3 linked regions of the Macaca fascicularis genome follow. The protein of the gene in region 1 binds, or shares a complex with, the protein of each later gene. Links are inferred from orthologs where the notes say so. Each region holds a gene or a part of one and is shown on either strand. Other genes may lie near its edges. The genes, in order: STRIP2, STK25 and STK24.

What was found.
Region 2: STRIP2 (region 1) and STK25 share a complex: the UniProt entries of both Homo sapiens proteins name them as parts of the core of STRIPAK complex. The link is inferred for Macaca fascicularis from reciprocal best matches to the Homo sapiens genes STRIP2 and STK25.
Region 3: STRIP2 (region 1) and STK24 share a complex: the UniProt entries of both Homo sapiens proteins name them as parts of the core of STRIPAK complex. The link is inferred for Macaca fascicularis from reciprocal best matches to the Homo sapiens genes STRIP2 and STK24.

The regions. Positions count from the first base shown.
Region 1 is NC_088377.1:170,899,599-170,906,704, forward strand, and holds the start of STRIP2 (striatin-interacting protein 2), read left to right. Parts: upstream 1-3,894; 5' UTR 3,895-3,929; coding exon 3,930-4,058; intron 4,059-7,106. UniProt on the Homo sapiens protein: Plays a role in the regulation of cell morphology and cytoskeletal organization. Required in the control of cell shape. Calmodulin-binding scaffolding protein which is the center of the striatin-interacting phosphatase and kinase (STRIPAK) complexes.
Region 2 is NC_088386.1:137,444,046-137,450,414, forward strand, and holds the end of STK25 (serine/threonine-protein kinase 25), read right to left. Parts: coding exon 6,267-6,369; intron 6,181-6,266; coding exon 5,995-6,180; intron 5,835-5,994; coding exon 5,644-5,834; intron 5,355-5,643; coding exon 5,240-5,354; intron 4,832-5,239; coding exon 4,760-4,831; intron 3,715-4,759; coding exon 3,578-3,714; intron 2,883-3,577; coding exon 2,843-2,882; 3' UTR 2,204-2,842; downstream 1-2,203. Other genes in the region: FARP2 (FERM, ARHGEF and pleckstrin domain-containing protein 2), read left to right, coding at 135-242, 473-624, 1,199-1,316. UniProt on the Homo sapiens protein: Oxidant stress-activated serine/threonine kinase that may play a role in the response to environmental stress.
Region 3 is NC_088391.1:89,351,925-89,358,930, reverse strand, and holds part of STK24 (serine/threonine-protein kinase 24), read left to right. Parts: intron 1-1,480; coding exon 1,481-1,626; intron 1,627-3,409; coding exon 3,410-3,533; intron 3,534-4,843; coding exon 4,844-4,912; intron 4,913-7,006. UniProt on the Homo sapiens protein: Serine/threonine-protein kinase that acts on both serine and threonine residues and promotes apoptosis in response to stress stimuli and caspase activation.

The sequences.
Region 1 (7,106 bases):
CCCTAATAACTAGGACCTGATTATATCCAGCCAAAGGGAAGAAAGAAGTGCATCAGGCAGAGATTTGTCTCTAAATCAAGTTGCCTGACATAATCAACCAAAGGATGAATCCAATTGCCTATTCTTTCTCAACTGCCAGTAGAGTAACCATCTTTGGGTAGCTTTCTGATAGCCACCTTCTTTAGTTGACAACCTAAACTAGTTCTGCATCCTGTATGCAAGATGTTTTCTTTCCATAGCAGAATCTTCTGCCACTTTGGCTTCTGATTATTTAGATTAAGGGCCACAGGACTAGAATAGTCTGGGCAGTCGGTAATCCTCAAAATTAGTGGCATTCCAGTTAGGAGGAGAATGCAGCAGCTAGCAGTGAAGCCAGTGAGGCAGCTGAAAGGATTCGCTCCCCTGCGACAGGGCTTGACTCCTCATTTGTGAAGGATGGAACCTTGGGTGCCTGGGTCTTCATTTCAGAATCACAGGGTAAGCCCAAGCTGTCCACTGCTGCACAAGTTTCTCCACCTCACAGTATTGTGGAAAATAACTTGAACTTTGAAACAGGCTAGCTTGGGTTTGAATCCCAGCTCTGCCATTTACAAGTTACGTAACTTAGCCAAATTACATAACCACTCACAGCCTTGATTTTCTTGCCTGTGAAATGGATACTGCTTATCTCCTAGGGTAAGGATTTAATGAACTGATGTATAAAAAGTGCTGCTTATTTACAGAGCCTGGCGTGCACTGCTGACTGCATAGACATAATTCCTTGTCTCAGTCTAGAACCCTACAACCTCTGTTGCATCATTACACCCACAGGTGCCCTTTATGGAGAGAGGAGGGTGTTCTATCCTTTTTTTACTAAATTATCATAACTGCCTGGTAGCCTCAAAAAGCAGGTACTTTAAAACTTCCTGCATCTTATTAAGCTTTCTCAGTGCCAGCTACTATCCATTTAGTAAAGTATCTGACCTCTGTGGATTAAAGTGGAGTGCTTATATGGGGAAAAGGGTATATGTGATTATTGTAACTATACCTATTTATACCTCCAACCCTCTGCTGGCAGCCTTGAGTTTTGGGACAAGGGAAATTGGTAATGTAGGTTTTTTAATAAAGTCAAATATAAAAATAACAGCATTAGAGTCATCTCCGCAAGGTGGAAAGACTTGACCAGCCTCGACTAGCTCCCAGGTATGGGTGCCTCTGTGGTGAATGGTATTGATGGCTAACATGCCTTTGTTGACAAATAAGCTAAAATAAATTGAATGTGTGCCAATTCCATGGCCTATAGTTTCAAAGTTTTCAGTTACTCTGTGATTTCTTGTTGCATCTTCCAGTCGTTTCCAGATATCTTCCTCCTTATTAGAAATTTTGAATGTCTGGGCCTATAATGAGCACATAGGTGTCTGATCTTAGTAAAGGTCTTCTATTCCACTGAGATGTGGAAAAGATCATGGATTGAGGTCTCGTGTTGACTCTACGCAGTCTTCATAGCACCAGTTTTACACATTCCTTCTCTGAAATTAAAGCCAGATGGAGCTCTAGGCTTAGTAAGTGGCTTTAGATAGCCAAGCCACCAGAGGGGACTTGCAAGCTGTCCTCTATCCTACTCCCAAGATCAGTCTGCCCTTTCCACTAGGAGTAGGCAGGAAAAGGAATAAAGCGTTAAAACTGGCCGCTCCTGTCTGCTACCACGGTTGATATTCTGCTGATTGACTAGGCTCACAAAAGAATATGAAGTTCTGGGCCTGTTAACCTTAGGGCTCTGACTACTTAGGAGGAGAAGAAGTACTGGGAAGAAAAGAGATAGAATAATGAATTCTTTTTATTAAGAAACCCCAATGGGCTGTGCTATGGCAAGTTTACCACACTGAAGCAGTGATGAGCAAGGCGTGGGTTGTGAATTTTAAAGCAGAGTGTAATTTTTTAAGAGTTTAACAAATTATACCCTGAAAAAACTCCAAAGTCAAGTAGTTCAGGCCTTGAGCCAGGGACTTTCTTGGAAATTCATATCAATTCAATTCTGTAAATGCCCCTTCCGCCCCCCCCCCCCACCACCAGGGACATTTTTCAGTATCTGGAGAGATTTTTGATTGTCGCACTAGTGGGAGGATACTACTTACTGGCATCTAGTGAAGAGAGGCCAGGTATTCTGCTAAGCATCCTACAATGCACAGGACAGCCCACTACAATAAGTGTTCAGCCCCAATTGTCAATAGTAGAGAGACTGTGAAACCCTGTGTTAAACGTACATAAATTAGGGGCATACAAAAATGAGCTAAATTTGGTCTTACTCGCAAGTAGCCTATATGTGGATGGGGAGATGAGAGGGACTGGAAGAAGAAAGGGAAGATGGGTGGGTACAGTAAGGAGATATTGAGGACCAGGGTGAGAAAACCCAAAAAGCTCCAAAGAGTGCTCTCAAACTTGCCTTGTTCTGTCACCTATGAACTGGCAAAAGGAAAAGTGAGAGAGAGAAAGATGGTAAGAAAGGGACAGAGTTGTCCCTAAGATATGGGAAGGTGGATTAATTCCTCTAGGCCCCTTGCTTTGGGTATATTGTGGAAAATGTTAGGATTTTGGATCTAGGCAGAACTGGCTTGACACCAACACAGCCTGAATGAGTTGAGGGCCAAAAGGAAAGCTTTGTGGAGGAGGAGGAGGTGATAACTAACTAGAATCTTTAAGGGAAGGGAGAAAAGGAATCAACCAGGAAAAGAGAAGACAGTCTCCTCCAGACAACAGCATAGGCAAGACCCTGAGACGAGATAGAATATGATACCTTGGGAACTGCAGGGAGGAATCTGCAAGTGCCGGTTTCCTCATCAGTAACATTGGATTCGTAAAAATACCCTGTCGGGGAGAGGTATGATGTGATATCTGGAAAGCGCCTACTGCAGTGCCTGGCACCAAGCACAGTTCAACAATCCCCCAGACCCTTCCGAAAGCAACCAGGCTAGGGAGAGCGATTTGGTCCCACCCGTTCCCCTGGGCCTATGTCTTTGGGGATTCTATTACCAAGTCAGACTGTCTAAATATTTACTACAAGCTGCTTTTTTAAATTCAGGAGAGGGCAGATCAAACAGCTTCTTTTGCTCCCAGTAACAATGAGCCCTTAGGAAGCATGTTAGAAAAGAGAGAGGAAGGAAAGAAAGGACTGGCGAGCAGGTGAGGTGAGGGTGGTGGCTTGCTCTCCAGCCAACATTTACACACCATGAGGAAGAGGCCCCCTACAGCAGAGAAGGGCAGATGACAGGAGCAGCCCTCGAGGGCATCACCAATTTCAGTGACGGAAAAACGCCCCCAACACACCCTTAGACCCCCAGTCTCCCAGCCAAGCCCTAGCTCCGGGCGAGATGCGTTCTCTTCAGAAAAACGCTGAGAATTCTCAGCTTCCGGAGACAGCGAGTCCCTCGTTTCGGGCGATGTCCCTGGCCACATGGCGGTGCCATCCCTCCTCTGCGACTAAGCGGGATATGGGACGTGTGCAGAAGCCGGGATGTGGGGGTCCGGGTCGGTGGTAACAGGGAAACGGAGGCTGCAGTGGAGCAGGAGGCGGAGACTAGAGCTCCAGAAAAGGTCGCTACAGGGACGGGGGTGAGTGCTGAGAGACACCGAGTGAGGAGCACAGAGATAAACCTCCTGAGCTCAAGGCCCAGCTTTCGCAAGTCGTGGAGTCTGTAGCTAACCTAGGAGTCTCTGGCTGCCAGCAATGCAGCAGGACTAAAAAGATACCCCCAAAATCTCTTCAATGAGCCCCCACCTCCTCGTGTCCCGCTCCGGCCGGTCGAGCAGCCAATCGCCTCGCGGGGCGGGGTTGCGGCCAGCGGCCGTAACCAATAGCGGCGGAGGGGGCGGGTCCTGGCTCCCGGCGCGCGGCTGTGGGGTCGCCCCGGGCAAAGCGAGCTGAACCCTGAGGGGAGCCGCTGACCAGCAGCATGGAGGACCCCGCCGTGCCCGGGACCGGGGGCCCTCCCGCAAACGGCAATGGCAACGGCGGCGGCAAAGGGAAGCAGGCGGCGCCCAAGGGCCGCGAAGCGTTCCGAAGCCAGCGGCGGGAGTCAGAGGTGAGGAGCCCGGAGAGCTTCGGCTGGGGCCCGGAGACGCTCGCGGGCGGGAAGCGGCGGCTGAGGTGATTCGGCCTCGGCCCCGGAGCCCTCGGCGCGCTCGGTCAGCCCCGCGCAGTGGGCGCCTGCGGGGTCCTAGCGGCTGTACTCTGGGCTTTTTGGCCCCGACCCTTGTCCGCACGTCTCCTGCCGCGGGTTGGGGGCTTTCTAGCCCTCTGGCTTTCCCCCGCTGCGCGAAGATGAGCGCGGTATTGAGCGGACCAGGTACTTTCCAAATATTTATCTCACTTAATCGCTGCAGCCCCTTGAAGCAGAAATTCCGATCCCAGTTTATGGAGGGGGGAACAGGAGCGGAGAGGTGAAGTGACTGGCTTCAGGGATGGAAGGCTGGAGCTCAGCTGCAGGAAAGCAGGATTGGCGAGTGGGGCAACCGCACTCCCCCACCCCAGGCTGCCTGCGGCGGGCCCCTGGACAGATCCACTGTGGCCGAGGGACTTCTGCCCGTTCCCTGCCCATCCCCTTCCCCCACATCCCCCATAAGTCTTAGGCCGTTTAGGGAGCGCCTTCCGCGGACATCAGGCCCCTGCAGTCCAGGAGTGGCTATCTGGAGGGAGCAGTCCCAGGATACAGATAGGAGTATGAATATTTCGATCTCTTCCTCCTCTCCTGAAAAAAGAAACGCTACCTAGGAAGATGAAAGCATTGAATTATTATCACTCCCCTATCCCCTCATTGAGGCAGTTTCCATCAGTTGGATCTGAGCGGAGCCGGAATCAGAATAGATGACAAAATGTCAGATGTGGCAGGGTCTGCAGAAATCATCTGGTATAGCCCTTTAATTTTACAGACCTAAAAGAAAGAGGAGTGACTTGCCCAAGATCAGACATCTGGCATACTTTGTGGTCAAGAACACGAGGCTTTGGAGTAGTCGGACCAGGTTTTGAATCCCAGCCCTATCATTTACTGCCTGTGTGATTTTCGGCACATTACCAAACCTCTCTGAGCTCCAGTTTCTTCATCTGTAAAATGAGATTAACACTGCCTACCTCAGAAGGTTGTGATAAAGTCAAAATGAGATAATTGACTATAAAATGTTTGGCACAGTGCAGGCACAATGCATGTAATTAGTCAGTACATAGTAACTCTGAGTATATTACTATCGTCATCATCATCATCATCATCAAGTGGCAGAGCTGGTACTAGAAGCCAGGTCTTTGGCATTCCAGACCTTGCCTTACCATTTAAATAGCATTTCAGTTTCCAAAGTGATTTCATGTATGCTTTCCATTTTGATGTAGGTAGAGTAGGAGGAATCCATTCATTTTTTAAAAGGTAGAAGTGGAGACGAAAAGACTGGCCCAGAGTCACCACCTTGCAGAGGAAGAGCTCAGCCCTCCTGTCTTGCTAGATGATATCCACCACATCATCTCCCTCCCTACCTCAAGATGAGTCTGATCTTTTAGGGCACCCTGTACCTCCTTCCCCCACAAAGACATTGTTCTCGCTCAAATGTTTTTTTGGGGAGGTGAGCCATTCATTAATTCAATAATTATTTATGGAGGACTTTCTGCCAGTCACTATTTTAGGTGCTAGGGATATATCAGTGAACAAGATAGGGTCTTCCCCCATGGGGAGACAAATTGTGAGTAAATAAATAAAATAATTTCACAATCGTATGTTCTATGGGGGGAATAAAAGTCTCTGCCTGGGTCTCCCTTCTAAGGTTGCAATCTGTTCCCCACCTGTCAAGGCTTCTTCAGGCAAAGGCTCTGAGAGTACAGTCCTTTGAGACTCGAAAGCTTTCCACCTGCACCGCAGTTTACCTGCTGATTGTCTGCAGCTGCACTCTTCATGCCTGGAAATGAACAACTGCTGCAATCATCTCTATCTGGGCTCATTGCCTGCCGAAAGCCTGGCTGGAAAGATTAGCTTTCCTTTACCTTCTGCGGCAGCAGAACTCCTTTTACCTGCCAGTACATCCCTTATCACCACAGTACCCAGGTGCCAGATCTGCTTTTCTTCTCTGCTTCTTTTTGCTTTCCCGTGGAAGGCAGTCCTTAGAGGAGATGGGTTTTTTTTTCCTCTCCAGGGCTTTTAAAAAATCACTAGAAGAGAATTACTGTGGCACAAGTTAAGAGAGCCTCATCATGTATCACTGTTTATGGAAGCACTGTTGACCTACCTTCTCCCACTGGCTTCGTGTGTGAACGAACATCCCAACCTAAAAAGGAAGCTAAAGAATAATTGTTTGCTTAATAAGAAGAGTCTTAACCTAACAAAAGGATTCATCTCAGACCTCTTTTAGCCAGATCTGGTTTATTGATCTCCAACTCCTTGACAAAGTTTTAACTGGTCTGTGGTAAAACGAGGAAAATTCAGGTCATCGAAGTGACTTTTTCTAAAAATTTAGTTCAATATATTAAATTTAAGGATGTATACAATTTAAAACAGTGTTTTCCAAACTGTTTTAGGGGGCAACTATTAATTGAGGCTAAAATTTTTATTTTAAAAAATAAAGCCAGTGTGATGGCTCATGTCTTTTATCCAGCACTTTGGGAGACTGAGGCAGATGGATAGCTTCAGCTCAGGAATTCAAGACCAACCTGGGAAATGCAGGCAGACCCGATCTCTACAAAAAATAAAAAATAAAAAAAATTTAGCCGGGCATGATGGTGCGCGCCTGTTGTCCCAGCTGCTCAGGAGGCTGAGGTGGGACAATCACTTAAGCCCAGGAAGTTGAGGCCACAGCAAGCTGTGATTGTGCCACTGCACTCCAGCTTGGGTGAGAGGAAGACCCTGTCTTTAAAAAAAAAAAAAAAGGAAAGAAAAGGAATAAAATAATATAAAATAGTGCATCATATGCAGTAAAGGTAAATACTTTGTTAAACTTTTGTTCCAGTTTGTGTGTGTGTGTGTGTGTGTGTGTGTGTGTGTGTGTGTGTGTGCGCGCGCGCGCGCGCACGCGCGCGCACTGGGATATAATGTAAAATGTATCATTTTTCCAAAAAGTTTGAAAAAGTTTTTAATGGCTGTTCTTTATTCTGAGAT
Region 2 (6,369 bases), on another chromosome or scaffold:
TCAAGGCCTCGGCCGGAGAAAGCATGCAGGTAGTTAGTCTTGGGGAGTAAACCCACTCCCACAAGGCCCCAGGGAGATGGAGCTGGGGGTTCTGGGTGCTGGTTAATGCACCTGCACTTTTCCTTTATTGACAGAACCAGCTTTCAGGATATCTGCTAAGAAAGTTCAAAAACAGTCATGGCTGGCAGAAGCTCTGGGTCGTCTTTACCAATTTCTGTTTGTTCTTCTACAAAACTCATCAGGTACTGGGGTTTCACTGGAGCCCGATGCAAGTGATGCTGGCAGACACTCACCCTTCCCACCTGTGTCCCTTTTGTATTTTGGTTCTGCCCTCCCATGCTTTGCCCACACACCCTGTGCTCCCTTGGCCCGTGAGCATTTGTATGTGCCACCGTCGTGCAGGTAGCAGAGGAATGGGCGCTCCCTGCTGCAACCCAGCCCCTGGAACCCGTGTCCCTGTGCTGTCTTCCAGGATGACTACCCACTGGCCAGCCTCCCGCTGCTGGGCTACAGCGTGAGCACCCCCCAGGAGGCCGATGGCATACACAAAGACTACGTTTTCAAGCTCCAGTTCAAATCCCATGTCTACTTCTTCCGGGCTGAGAGCAAGTACACATTTGAAAGGTAATTTTGTAGGAGGCAGCCTTGGTCAGCTGCCCAGGTCTGAGTGGGACCCCAAGGAACATTGGTATCTCCTCAGCTCCCATTTCTACTCATGGTGTTGGAGGCAAGTTTTCTGGGCCCTGGAAAGGAAGGGCTGAGCAATGCTTCCAGCATTTCCAAACAAACAGCAATGCTTTTTTTTTTTTTTGAGATGGAGTCTCCCTCTGTCACTCAGGCTGGAGTGCCGTGGTACAATCTTGGCTCACTATAACCTGCACCTCCAGGGTCAAGCGATTCTTCTGCCTCAGCCTCCTGAGTAACTGAGATTACAGGCATGTGCCATGCCGCCTGGCTAATTTTTGTATTTTTAGTAGAGACAGGGTTTCACCATGTTGGCCAGGCTGGTCTCGAACTCCTGACCTCAAGTGATCCATCTGCCTCCCAAAGTGCTGGGATTACAGGTGTGAGCCACTGCACCCGTCCCCAGGTTTTTAACCCTTCTTTTGTCCTGCTTGTCCCATAACCTGGGTTGTTCTTGGGACGGTGTGTGAGCACAAGCTGGCTTTACTGGTCTGACAGCCGCCCTCTCCTCCAGGTGGATGGAGGTGATCCAGGGAGCCAGCAGCTCGGCTGGGAGGGCCCCGAGCATCGTGCAGGATGGTCCCCAACCCTCCTCAGGGCTGGAGGGGATGGTCAGGGGAAAGGAGGAATGACGCTCAACCTGCCCAGGTCTGGACACAACTACAAAGAACAGCAGGACAGAGGTGGCCTCTGTCCTGAGGCTTCTCATCAGATGGGAAGTGGCTGTAGTCTCAGTGGATCCCCACTGGCACCAACAGTGTGGGTGGGCCTCATGTAACATCTGGGAGGGGCTTCATCCCCCCACCCAAGGCCCAGTGCTATGCCGCCCGCTATCTGGGGCCCTGAGAAAAATGTGCAGGTCTCGAGCGCGGAGCTGCTCACGCCTTGGCCCCCAGGCCCCTGGCTCATAGACACAGGGCTTGAGCAGTGCTCTGGGCATCGGACCAAAGCCTGGGCACACCCTGCCTCTCTCCCCAGAGCAGGGTCCCTGCTGAGGACTGGCCTAGAGCAAGCACTGGAAAAGAGGCCCTGCCATACACCCTGCATACCCACTGCCAGGACCCTCTCAGACAAGTGTGGCACAGCCATGCTGACCTTCCATCTGGTGAACCAAGTGGCAGCCCCAGGGGCCCGCCCTGCAGGTCACAGCTCAGCAAGTCTAGCAGAAGCCATGCTTGTTCCCCGTGTACCTCTGGAGAAGCAGAAACCAAAGTCCCCCTGTGCCCTGGGAGGGTGGGGTCCTCTAATTTATTAGTGCCCAGCATTCCTTCCAACGGGAAGTAGACGAGTGACTGCTTTGTTCACACACATTTGATTAAAAATAAACAGCATCTCCCCACCTGCATACTCCTCTGCCTGCTCTGTTCGCCTTCCAGGGGGCCAAGCAGAGCCCAGGAATCAGTCACAGGGAAGTTTTGAAGGGTGGCTGGGCTGCAGTCTCTGCGTGCCGTGATGAGGACTCAGGACCAGAGATGCTGCAGCCCTGCATGGTCCGGGCCCGCCCCCCCACACACCTGTATGTCTCCAAGTCAGGTCTTTATTGAAAGTGGCAGGGGCCTCTCAATGTTCTATGAAAACTAACATATTAACCTCAGAATATTTAAGGAAACAAGTAAATTCAATTTTCTTAAAAAACAAAACATTCTGGATGACACAAGTACTTATGAGCAGACACAGTACCTGATCCAACACCACAAGGCAAATCTATGGCCATCATGGGCCCTGGGAGGACAGCGGCCAGGGCACTCCTCTGGGGGCTGTCCTGTTGCCTCTCCCCATCTCATGGGAGGAGGAGGCAGAGCTGCCCTGATAGTTGCTCTGCGCCTTGGTCTGAGCGGCCATAGGGCTGCGTGAGTCTGCAGAAGACCCAGGCATAGCTCATGAGGACCATGCTGGCTGCTGGAGCCCCCGTGAGCTCTATTGCTGGGCCAGGAGAGGAAGGAGGGCAGTGGACATGTGGAACGGCATCCCCTGACGTGCACAACAGCACACTGCAGGGGTGGAAGGAGACGGTGACCTGGCATGTGAGGCCCACAGGATCTGACGTGTCCCTGCAGGCACGAAACAGCACGGGGCACCTTCCAAGTCAGCACAGTTCTTATGGAGCTCAGAACAAAAACAAAGGACCTTCTGTCCCCTATCTGAACAGCAGCGCGTTTCAGCGGGTGGATGTCAGGTGGTTTCTGTTGTGTGAAAACCTGCAGAGAGAAGAGCCCACCTCTGTGTGCATGCACCTCTGTGCCCAGGCTCCTGACGGCCTCTTGGGTGTGCAGTCTGCGGTGGCAGCCCTGACAAGCCACCGCACCACGTGGGTCTGAAGTGTCCCCAATGCACAGGGTCTCAGGAGCAGCACTGATTGGCCCAGACCCCACCTCCAGAGCTGCTGCCCAGGGGTGCCAGGAAGGGGTCCCTGGGTGTGGACCAGGACTTAGGGCATCTGCCGGCGGCATGGCGGTTGGACCCTAAATCCACTGGGCGGTGGAGGGCCCAGTATCTGTCCTGCCCTGTTTGCGAAGGACTCAGGTCAGCACAGGGGCAGCTCTGACGTTTTGCCGCCAGCGTGTTAGAGCAGCTCCTGGGAGCCACTAGGTGGCAGAGGTCAGCTGAGGACAGTCGTGTGGCCACTGAGGCCAGGACCCTGAGACGCTCCTCAGACACTTAGACTGGAAAGGCCCTGCCCACTCTCTCCAGCCCCAAAATCTCCATGGCCCTGTGAGCTGTGAGCTGGGTCCGAACAAGGAAGAGGATGCCATGCCGCCCCTTCCCGGAGTGAAGCGAACCCATGTAGTTCCAAGCGCAGCCACACCCACGAGTGAGCACTGGACCTCACCCCACGTCCAGCTGCTGCTTGGCGGGGGTGCTCTCCCCAACCCTATGGCCCGGCCACCCTCACCTCTGCACTCGCTCCACCAGATGCACCATCAGCTTGTCTGAGATGCCGGGGCAGGACTCCTCGGCCAGGCTGAAGGCGTTCTCCAGCTCCTCCAGAGCACCCACGCTCCCGCCGCTCTGCTTGTGCTTCTCTTTGAGCTATGGAGAGACCACCTCGCCTGACCCTGGACCCCAGGACAGGCCCTCGGAGAGCCCGCTCCTTTGCTCGGCCAGAGTCATGCTGGAGGCCTTCAAGGCCTTCGTCTAGGACCCGGGAGCCCTTCAGCAAGCCAGGAAGTGAGGTGGCCCAAGGAAGCCTGCCCTGCCAATGGGGACTCTAGTGGTCCTTCCCCACAGCCCCTACCCTCCCTCTACACTCCAGGGAATCTCGGGCCTCGGTTCTCAGGAGGGGACCAGATGGCTTCCTCCCAGCTGAGGATCATGGAAGCCACTGAATGGGTCCGATCAGACCCAAAAACACAAAGCCCAGAAACTCCCAAAGCACAACCAGGCCCAGATCTGACCTCCATCAAGACACCAGCTCCGAGCCTCTGTCACCGGGTGTCACCCACCCTCGGGGGCTGTGGCTAGGTCAGCAGGCTGCCCGGGACCTGGGCCTGAGTGGCTGCTTCACTGGGGCCTCCACATGGGCTGGGGCCAGTGTCCCTCGACTGCTCCACCCTCTGCCATCCTCAGGCAGGCTCTCCTGTCACCACCTCTCACCCACATCCTCCCCAGGCTCCAGGAGGGGCTCCTGGAGAGCACACCTGGGCCCAAGCCCACTGGCCACGCCCTGGGCACAGAGCTCCTGGCTGCATCACATCTCTGAGAATGGTGCCGACTGCCCATTAGCAGGTGACGCTGATGCAAGGTCATGTGACTAACCAGGGAGGCACCTGCCCTGGATGGACCCCGACTACATCTTCTCTGCTTTCTCTATAGAAGGGTCATCTGTGTTTGCACTTGAAGAAAACAAAAGTCGCTCTGGGAACCCAGAGGACCTTGGCAGGTCTGGGAGCACAAAAGGTCATCACAGCAGATTCTGCTCCTTCTACTCAGGAAACCCAGCCCATAATCAGCTGCAGGAAACCTAGAAGCTGAGACTGCCCCACGGCACTGTGAGGGGACATCCCCGCGGAGCAGCGTCCCAGCCTTGTCCCTGGCGGGGCTCCAGCCCCAGCCCCAGCCCCAGCCCCCTTCTCACCTCTCCGAAGACAGGCCGGACCAGCGTGGACAGGCACTGGGACCTTGGCTGCCTCTTGACAGGCTCTGCGGGCTGCAAAGGAAGTGGAGGCCCAGGGTGAGCAGGGCAGTGCAGGCGACAGGCAGGGCACTCCCATCCCTTCAGGCTCTAGCCTTGAAGGGATGGAGACTGGGAGCAGCCTGTCACGGCACATGCCCAGGGCTGGCCCCAAAACCATCAAGCCACCCAGATGGCCTGACTCAGGACTTGCAACTCCCACCCACCCTCTCCTCACAAATTTGGCTCCTAACAGGCCCTCATCTTCCCAGCACATGCTGGGGCTTGGGGTCTCCACACCAGGCCCAGTGCCACAGTGGGCTTCAGACCACCCCTGCCTTTCCCAAGCTCCTTGTCCAAGCCCCAGACACTGGGTGGACAAAGCTGGGTCCCGCACCCAGCCCCAGGGGTGCACAGCAGGCAGAGGCCAGGCCGGGAACAGACCTTCTGTGAGCTGTGCAGGGCCGTCCCCTTGTGAAGCTTGCTGTGTGGACTCGGCCGGATGGTGGGGGGGAACGTCCAGATGGGGCCCTGCTCCCCGTCCTCCGCCTCGCCATCACTGAAGAGGATGAAGAGTTGCCAGGGTCAGTGGGGGGAGGACCAGGAGGCACAAGGGCCTCAGGGCACACCTCACGGCCAAGGGAAACCCGAGGTACTGGGCGGCGCTCTGCCAGGCCACGGAGTCCAACTGATGCCTCAGCAGGCCCTGTCCTGCAGCCTTAAGGGGGTCCCTGCCCAATACTATATCTGGTCACTCTCACCCCTAGAGCCCACGCCCCTGCTTCTGGAGTGGGGACCACCCACGTCACAACACCGAGGGTCACCATGAGGATAAACCAGGCCCCTACATGTCAGAGTCCTCGGAGCTGGACTCCTCGCCATGCCCCTCGGACTTCCAGCGCTTATAGCGGTCGATGAGCTCCGTGAGGAAGGAGGTCTTCTTGGTGTAGCGTGTGATGAACTTGTGCTTCAGGAGCTCCTTGGCTGTGGGCCGCTGTGCGGGGTCAGGGGAACATCGGTCACTGGGCCCAGCCAAGCTCTGCCTCAGGAAAGCAAATGTGAGGCAGCCTGGACTGGGGCAGGTCCTCATGGCTACAAGGCTGGGGGGCCTAGGCCTCCGGGCTGTGCTGCCCACCCCAAGCAAATGCCCTCCCTCCATATGCCCGTCCAGAAGGGGCCAGGCCAGAGGCGGGCCTTACGAATCGGGGGTCCTTGTTGAGGCAGGCCTCCACGAACTCCTTGAACGGCTTGCTGTGCTGGCCCTCCAGTGTGGGAGGGCTGTTCTTGGGAATCAGGAACAGGACGCGCATGGGGTGGAGGTCAGAGTTTGGAGGCTCCCCCTTGGCCAGCTCGATGGCCGTGATCCCCAGGGACCAGATGTCGGCCTGGACAGAACACAAGGACTGTCGCTGCCCTGAGCACCCCAGTCAGGCGTGGTGCCCGCACCCGCCCGCCCACCCACTGCACCCACCTTGAAGTCATAGGCCGACTGCTTGATGACTTCAGGCGCCATCCAGAAGGGGGTGCCCACGAACGTGTTCCTCTTAATCTGTGTGTCTGTGAGCTGCCCTGCT
Region 3 (7,006 bases), on another chromosome or scaffold:
AGGCAGGAGAATGGCGTAAACCCGGGAGGCGGAGCTTGCAGTGAGCTGAGATCCGGCCACTGCACTCCAGCCTGGGCGACAAAGCGAGACTCCGTCTCAAAAAAAAAAAAAAAAAAAAAAAAAAAAAATGAGTGGTTACTTTTACAAGAGCACCATGGTTGCCTAATATGCCAATTTTGGTAAAAGAATTACATGAGGAATGCAACATTTTCTAAGCACCTCTGGGGAGATGCAGGCTGAGACCACCACACCAGCATTTGATGACTACATCAGCATCTTGTGGTAGTGGGGCTTGTCCTGCACGCCACGATGCTCTGCATTTTATTACAAGATGATGTTTGTTGCAGCCACCATGCACCAGCACTGGTGGAGATACGTGCAGGCATGTCTTCCTTTACAAATCATGTGTCTAGTATGGGCTTATGCTCCAGCACACAGAGCTCCACCCCACAGCTACCGAGGAGCTGGCTGAGAGGCGAGACTACGAGCACCTCCGGGGTAGCTGGGGTTTCACCCTTGGGTGGACGGGGAGGGAGAATACTCAAGGGTGATCCAGGTTTCTCATGAGTTTGAATCTGAAAACGTGCTTGGCTTTTGTAGTCAAGCTTTTGTAATTTGGAGTGAGTGGGAACTCGGTTCGACTCGGTATTTGGGTGTTCCTGGTGTCTATTCCAATTTGGGCTGTGCTGGTTTCCTTGGGAAGCACATTCCCTGTCACTGTCGCCATCCTCAAGGCAGGCAGCTGACCAGGTGCTGAGCCCAGGGCATGGGTGAAGTCTTCAGCCCAATCACAAGGGAAGGGAGGGACCTGGGAAACAGCCCTTCTCAACTGGGAAAGTTGGTGATGCAGAGCGCCCAGCTGCTCTTTCAGCAGACAGGAGAAAGGGCATCTCCTGGCTCCTTTCCGGTTTCTTTGAGAGAATTCCAAATTGACATTTCTATTATATGGTTGGATGTGGCCAAACGTTAAAAAACTGGGTATAGTGGCTCAGGCCTGTAATCCTAGCTACCCAGGAGACTGAGGTAGGAGAATCGCTTGAACTGGGGAGGTGAGGTTGTAGTGAGCTGAGATCGCGCCACTGCACTCCAGCCTGGGCAACGAGCAAAACTCCATCTCAAAAAAAGTTAAAGCGACATAGAACATACATTCTGTCAGCTATTTGCCATAAAGTATTTCATAAGCTAGGAGATAAGGTCTCTTAAATGATCCCTGTGAAGCTCTGTGCAGAGGTTTCTGTGGAAATGCATTTATTAGGGACCTCCTTAGAAAGTCACTGCCCTGCCCACCATGGTACCTGGAGCCCAGGCGTAGGTCCTGAGCGCCTCGTCTTTGGGTGAGTCACAGTGAGAAGAGGTGCGGAGTAGAATCGCAGCCATCAGGTGTCAGTGTGGCGGGTTGACATTTTGAGGCAGAAGTCTGTCCTTTGGGGTGGGATCAAGAGCTTCATCTCATATTTTGTTGTTGTGTGTGTTTTTCCAGAGACCCACTGCTAAGGAGTTACTGAAGCACAAGTTTATACTACGCAATGCAAAGAAAACTTCCTACCTGACCGAGCTCATTGACAGGTACAAGAGATGGAAGGCCGAGCAGAGCCACGACGACTCGAGCTCCGAGGATTCAGACGCGTAAGTTGGCCCCTGAGCGACCCGAGCGTGTGTGTGGGAGGGACCCACTGGTCTTTGTCACTTGTTTGGTGTGGGTTTCGTTTTCTGTTGAGTTTTTTTTAGACAATCCAGGCTGGTGGCGGTTGCTGTGTTAGCCACATCCTGGGCCTGTTGGGGAGCTGAGCCTCTGGATGTTGCTGGTGGAAGTTCTACGAGTGAACTCTGTGGCAGAGCTGTGCGTAGGGAACTGGGCCTGGCTGTTTGATTCTGTTTTGTTTCGTTCGGTTCTGCTCTGTTTTGTTTTCCATTACACTTTCTGTTCTTAAAATCATGATCAGGTGAAACTGCTTTTCATGGATGTCTGAAAGGCCAGAAATGCACGTGTTTGTGATTCTCTGTTGTGTCTGGTAGAAGCTTCTGTACCAGCGGTGACTTTCTGAGAACTGCTGTCAAGTTCGGCATCTAGGAATTCCCTTGGCTGAAGAGGCGAAGCGGGGCTGGAGCCATTTGTGTGGCGAGGGCTGGGGAAGGCGGTCGGGTAGGCTTGTGTCTGGAAGTCCAAGCCTGGGCTCGTCTGTTCTCGTGCATGCCTTGGCAGGAGTCAAACTTGGCCCACAGTGCAGGTCCATGCGCCAGGCCAGATGAATGAGGATTTCCGGGGGTGACACCCTAAGTGGGTTTTCAGTGTCTCTAGGTGATGGCAGTTTAAAGCCAAGTTTGAGACCACTGCCCTCGGAAGTTCTTGAGGTACTGCCATTGGGAGATTGCCGGGGTAGCAACAGGGATGACAAGATAGGGACTGGAGAGAGGTTTGAGAGCCAGGACGTGGCGGTGGATTTGGGTGAAGGAGGGAAGCCCACGTTCCAGGCTTGGGCAGCGTGGCCACAGGCGTTGTGATGTGTGGTGCAGGAAGCCGAGTGTGGGGTGGACCATGTATGAGTCTGAGTTGTCCAGGAGGAGACGTCCTGTGTGAAGTGGCACCGAGGTGTGGCATTCAGGTGAGAAAGCTGGGCAGGTTAAGTGGGCTTAGGGGCCACTGCTCTGTGGAGGTCACTGGAGCCAAGAGAACAAAGGGTGTCAGTCGGGGCGTGTGGGGGAGTGAGGCCGGCCCCTAGGGAAGCCGGCATGAGGGTGAGGCTCCGCCTGTGAATGAGAGGGGAGAGGTGTGGCCGAGGGGCGGGAGGAGGTGCAGGCTCAGTGGGGCCACAGGCGTCAGGATGATGAGCAGGGCCAAGGGCTCATTGCCTCTGAGGCCCACGCAGGACAGGGAGTCAGCACACATCTCATGATGGGGGAGGGAGTGCTCGGAGGGACACCGGCGGGCTTTGGAGCGAGTGGAGGGTACCAAATAGAGGCAGTGAGTGTGGATCCTGGAACCGGGGCTGAGAGACGGCCGAGGTGAGGCCGAAGTGTTGGAATGACAGGCATGAGCCACCACACCCAACACACAGACATCTGCTTTCCTGGTGAGAGGAGGAGCCCAGCAGAGAGAAGCTGATGGCCCAGAGATGGGCTCCCAGGGAGGCGGGGGAGGTGTCCTCCAGGAGGAGGAGGAGAGTGGGCACGCACACGCTGGCACACCAGGGAGGTGCGGGAATCACCTCGCGATGGTCTCGTCTCTGTGAGGGAGGAGGCGGGGCATCTCTGGAAAATCCCCAAGGGACTGGACATGGGTGTTATGGTGGGGACTTGGCGCTGGTGGGCGTGGGTTCGGAGGTCCCCAGGCGGCCTCCCCCAAACGTCCCAGCGCCCCCAGAGCAGACGTGCGAGCGCTGATGGGATCTCCCTGCGTGTCTGTGTTAAGGGAAACAGATGGCCAGGCCTCAGGGGGCAGCGATTCTGGGGACTGGATCTTCACAATCCGGGAAAAAGATCCCAAGAATCTGGAGAATGGAGCTCTTCAGCCATCGGACTTGGACAGAAATAAGGTACGTCTGCTCCCTCCAGAATGGCCACACTGACCTCAGTCTGCGGTGTTTTGGAGGCACGTGTGTGTGAAGCTTGCTGTGGGTGCGGGTGGCAGCTCTCATAGAATTTTGTTGCTAGGGGATGGACGGATTGAGAGCTTTAGTTCTGTCTGGTGATCCAGGTGTTCACACCGGGGAGTCTGGCCTCTGGTCTGTTCTGTGCCACTCCATTCTGCTCTCTGCAGCCCTGCAGTCAAGTTAGGATGTCCTGACATGTGGCAATGTCATGGGGTTTGGGGGTGACCCGTGAAATGACTTCATAGCTCTCTTTGGGGGACTGTTGTGCATGTTGGGGTTACTTACATACATATCATAATTTTGTGATTGAGTTTTAAGGACCTTATAAATAAATGCATTGCTTTTGATATTTATGTAAAACAATTTTGATTAATTGGTTTTATGCCTGTTAAATTTATGAAAGGCCATATATTTAGGGTCTTGTGTAAAACATAGTGGTGTAGTTTCTCTCAGGCAGGGTGGGCCAGTAGCTGTGCCCTGTTGATCCTACAAGTCCTGCTTTGATAAGTGAACAGGTAATGTCCAATTAGAGGCTGCAAAAGTAGAAACTCGGCCTCTGTCATAGACAGCACTTGGAATGGCCAATCTTGACCTGATTTCTATTTTCAGGGTTTCATTAGTAAAGTGCTTTTCTCTCTCTCTCTCTTTCTTTTTTTTTTTTTTGAAACGGGGTCTCTGTCACCCAGGCTAGAATGCAGTGGTGCCATCAGAGCCCACTGCAGCCTCAAACTCCTGGGCTCAAGCGATCCTCCCACCTCAACCTCCTGAGTAACTGGGATTGCAGGCATGTGACACCATGCCCAGTTTATGTAAAACTTTTTATTTTTATTTTTGTCTTTTTTTTTTTTTAGAAACAGGGTCTCACTATGTTGCCCAGGCTGGTCTCAAACTCTTGGGCTCAAGTGATCCTCCTGCCTCGGCTTCCCAAAGTGTTGGAATGACAGGTGTGAGCCATCACGTCCAACCAGTAAAGCACTTCTGCGTAGATAGCGAGACGAGGCAGTTCACCACCTGCGCCCACGCAAAGTCCCCTTCCACATGGAACCCAGATGCCGGTGTCCCTGGCGTGTGGGTTTTGCATGTCACTGCAGATGAGACTTTGAAGTCTAGCGAGAGGCAGCCGATAGTCTTCAGCTGTCATGGCGCGCAGAGGGCGTTTCCTCGGCGTGAAGTGTAGGAGTGAGAGGTTCGTTGCATTATTGCCGATGTGAACGTCAACTGTTTCTGATGACCTTTTTTTCCTCTCCCCCAAGATGAAAGACATCCCAAAGAGGCCTTTCTCTCAGTGTTTATCTACAATTATTTCTCCTCTCTTTGCAGAGGTAGGTACCTGGCTGACCTTTTCGGAGTGGGAGGGAAGAGGGAGGGAGAAGCTGGACACACTTCAGTGGTGATGTTGCCAGTAAGAGTTGGGGACATTAAGACAAACTGGCAAAGGCTCAGAAAGCCTGCATGGTGCCTCCCCAAAGGCTGTCAGCGTCAGGCACCACCTTGCACCTCCCACTGTCCTGGACGGTGGCCACTCCGCCACAGCCTGGAGTGTGCAGACTGGATGACAGTGACCCAGCCTGAGACCCTGTGTCACCCGTTGCACTGCTTTTTAGCAAATCTCATTGGGTGCAGCCTGCTTCCTTTGCCTCAGACCTATTTCTGGCCATATGAAAAGTAGAGTCTTTGTTCTAAGGAAGACGTTGGATGCCCTGGAGTCCTCCGGTCTCCCCTGAGCCACATGTTTCACCAAAGTCCCTCCTCCGCTCAGCAGTGCTGCGCTCCCGGCTGGGCCTCCCCGTGCCGTGCCCACCCTCTGCTCAGCCTCTCCCTCCCAGAGGAAAGTGCTCCCGGCCGTGGTTTGAGAGATTTTCAAAAGTAGGCTTTATAAGAATGAAGGTTGTTCTGCCTCTGGTTAGTAGCGGATTTGAAAATATGTTGGAAGTCCCCCCTTTTCTTGTTGTGCCCCTTCCTGGCTGAGGTTGCCTTTGAGGTATTCACTGTGGGCCACACACACATCTGTTTGCATGGGGATCGCCCTCTTTGGGCAGCTTTCCACTGCGGCTGTGTTTGGGGGCCCTGGTCCTTGAAGGGGGAGGCCTTCGGAGGAGGAAGCATCGTAGGAGCTCATTCCCCTCTCCTGTGCATGCGTCATGCAGTGGGGAATCCCTGGCCGTGGGCTGTGCCCAGCCTGCCAGTGCCTCTTCCCAGCCCTCCAGTGAGCCTGCACCTGTTGCCCTGCCCTGGAGGGTTTGTCTGAGGGCCTCTGACCTGGCAAGTTTCAGGGCCCAGTGCGAGCAGGGCTGTGGCCGGGGCCCGAGGCCTCACCTGCAGCTTCAAGTGGAAAACAGCCGAGCCCGCTGATGTCGGGGAAGGCACAGGGCACGCGGAGGCCCTGCTGGATGTCTGGCTTCAGCCCTGGCTCATGGTTCTGGGCACCTGTGTTCTTCCTACCTAGGATGTCCAGGTTGAGTGCCAGCTTGCTCTTCATTTTGTCCCATGGGAGTGGGCCCCGTGGGATTTCCAGGCTGCGCTCCTGCGGCTCTGCCGTTGGCCTCTGGAATCGGGTCAGTCAGGCAGTTAGGGAAAGTGCATGGAGTTTTTCCATTTACCTGAGGCTGTTTATTTTTTTACTGGGCTCATGAAGGAACTTTGACATAAGTATTCAGGACATATCCTAAATGCGATCGTATCCTGGATTTTCCAGCTAACCAAATGCTAAACTCGCATCTTTCCTAATGTATTTTTATGAATGATATTTGCTACCCTAGAGTTCAGAGTGTTTAATGTGCATTATTTCATACAATACTTGCAGAAGCTCAATAGAAGGATTATAGCCCCATGTTTACAGATGAGGCCATTGAGGAGACGGGCGTTGGCGTCCCTGCTTTCCTTCAGGGAGCACAGGTCAGGTTGCTCCGTGAAGTCAGTGGTGGGTCCAGTACGTTCCACACAGTGAGGGGACTGGCCCTCTCCCAGGGCAGCCCTTCTTCTGCCTTTGCTCCTTCTTTGAGACTTAGAGGCGGGACACGGGCAGGAGGGAGAGTGCTGGATGGTACATGATCCTGTCAGGACTTGTAAATACTGTGGGGGAGTCCTAGACAAACACAAGTGGCCATCTCGGGGCCGGCGGGGTGGGCCCTCTGGGACAGCAAGAGCTTCAGGAACAAATGCTCTCCGCACCCATTGGCCCTCTGAGGTCAGACTTTCCTGTTCCTGCCTGCCCCTTCAGCAGCGGAGAGAGAAGCTGTGGCTCTCAGGGCAGGGCTGGGTTTGGAAATGACAGCATGTGTTCAACAACCTGCAAACCAAGCTGAATGTCGCCTGAGATGTTTCTTACTTCCCTGAAAAGGAGGCGGTGTCCATCATCTCTGGAGCCACCACGAAGGGCCTCTTCTGTCGAGTTCTGAGCCATGCTGTATCTTGAT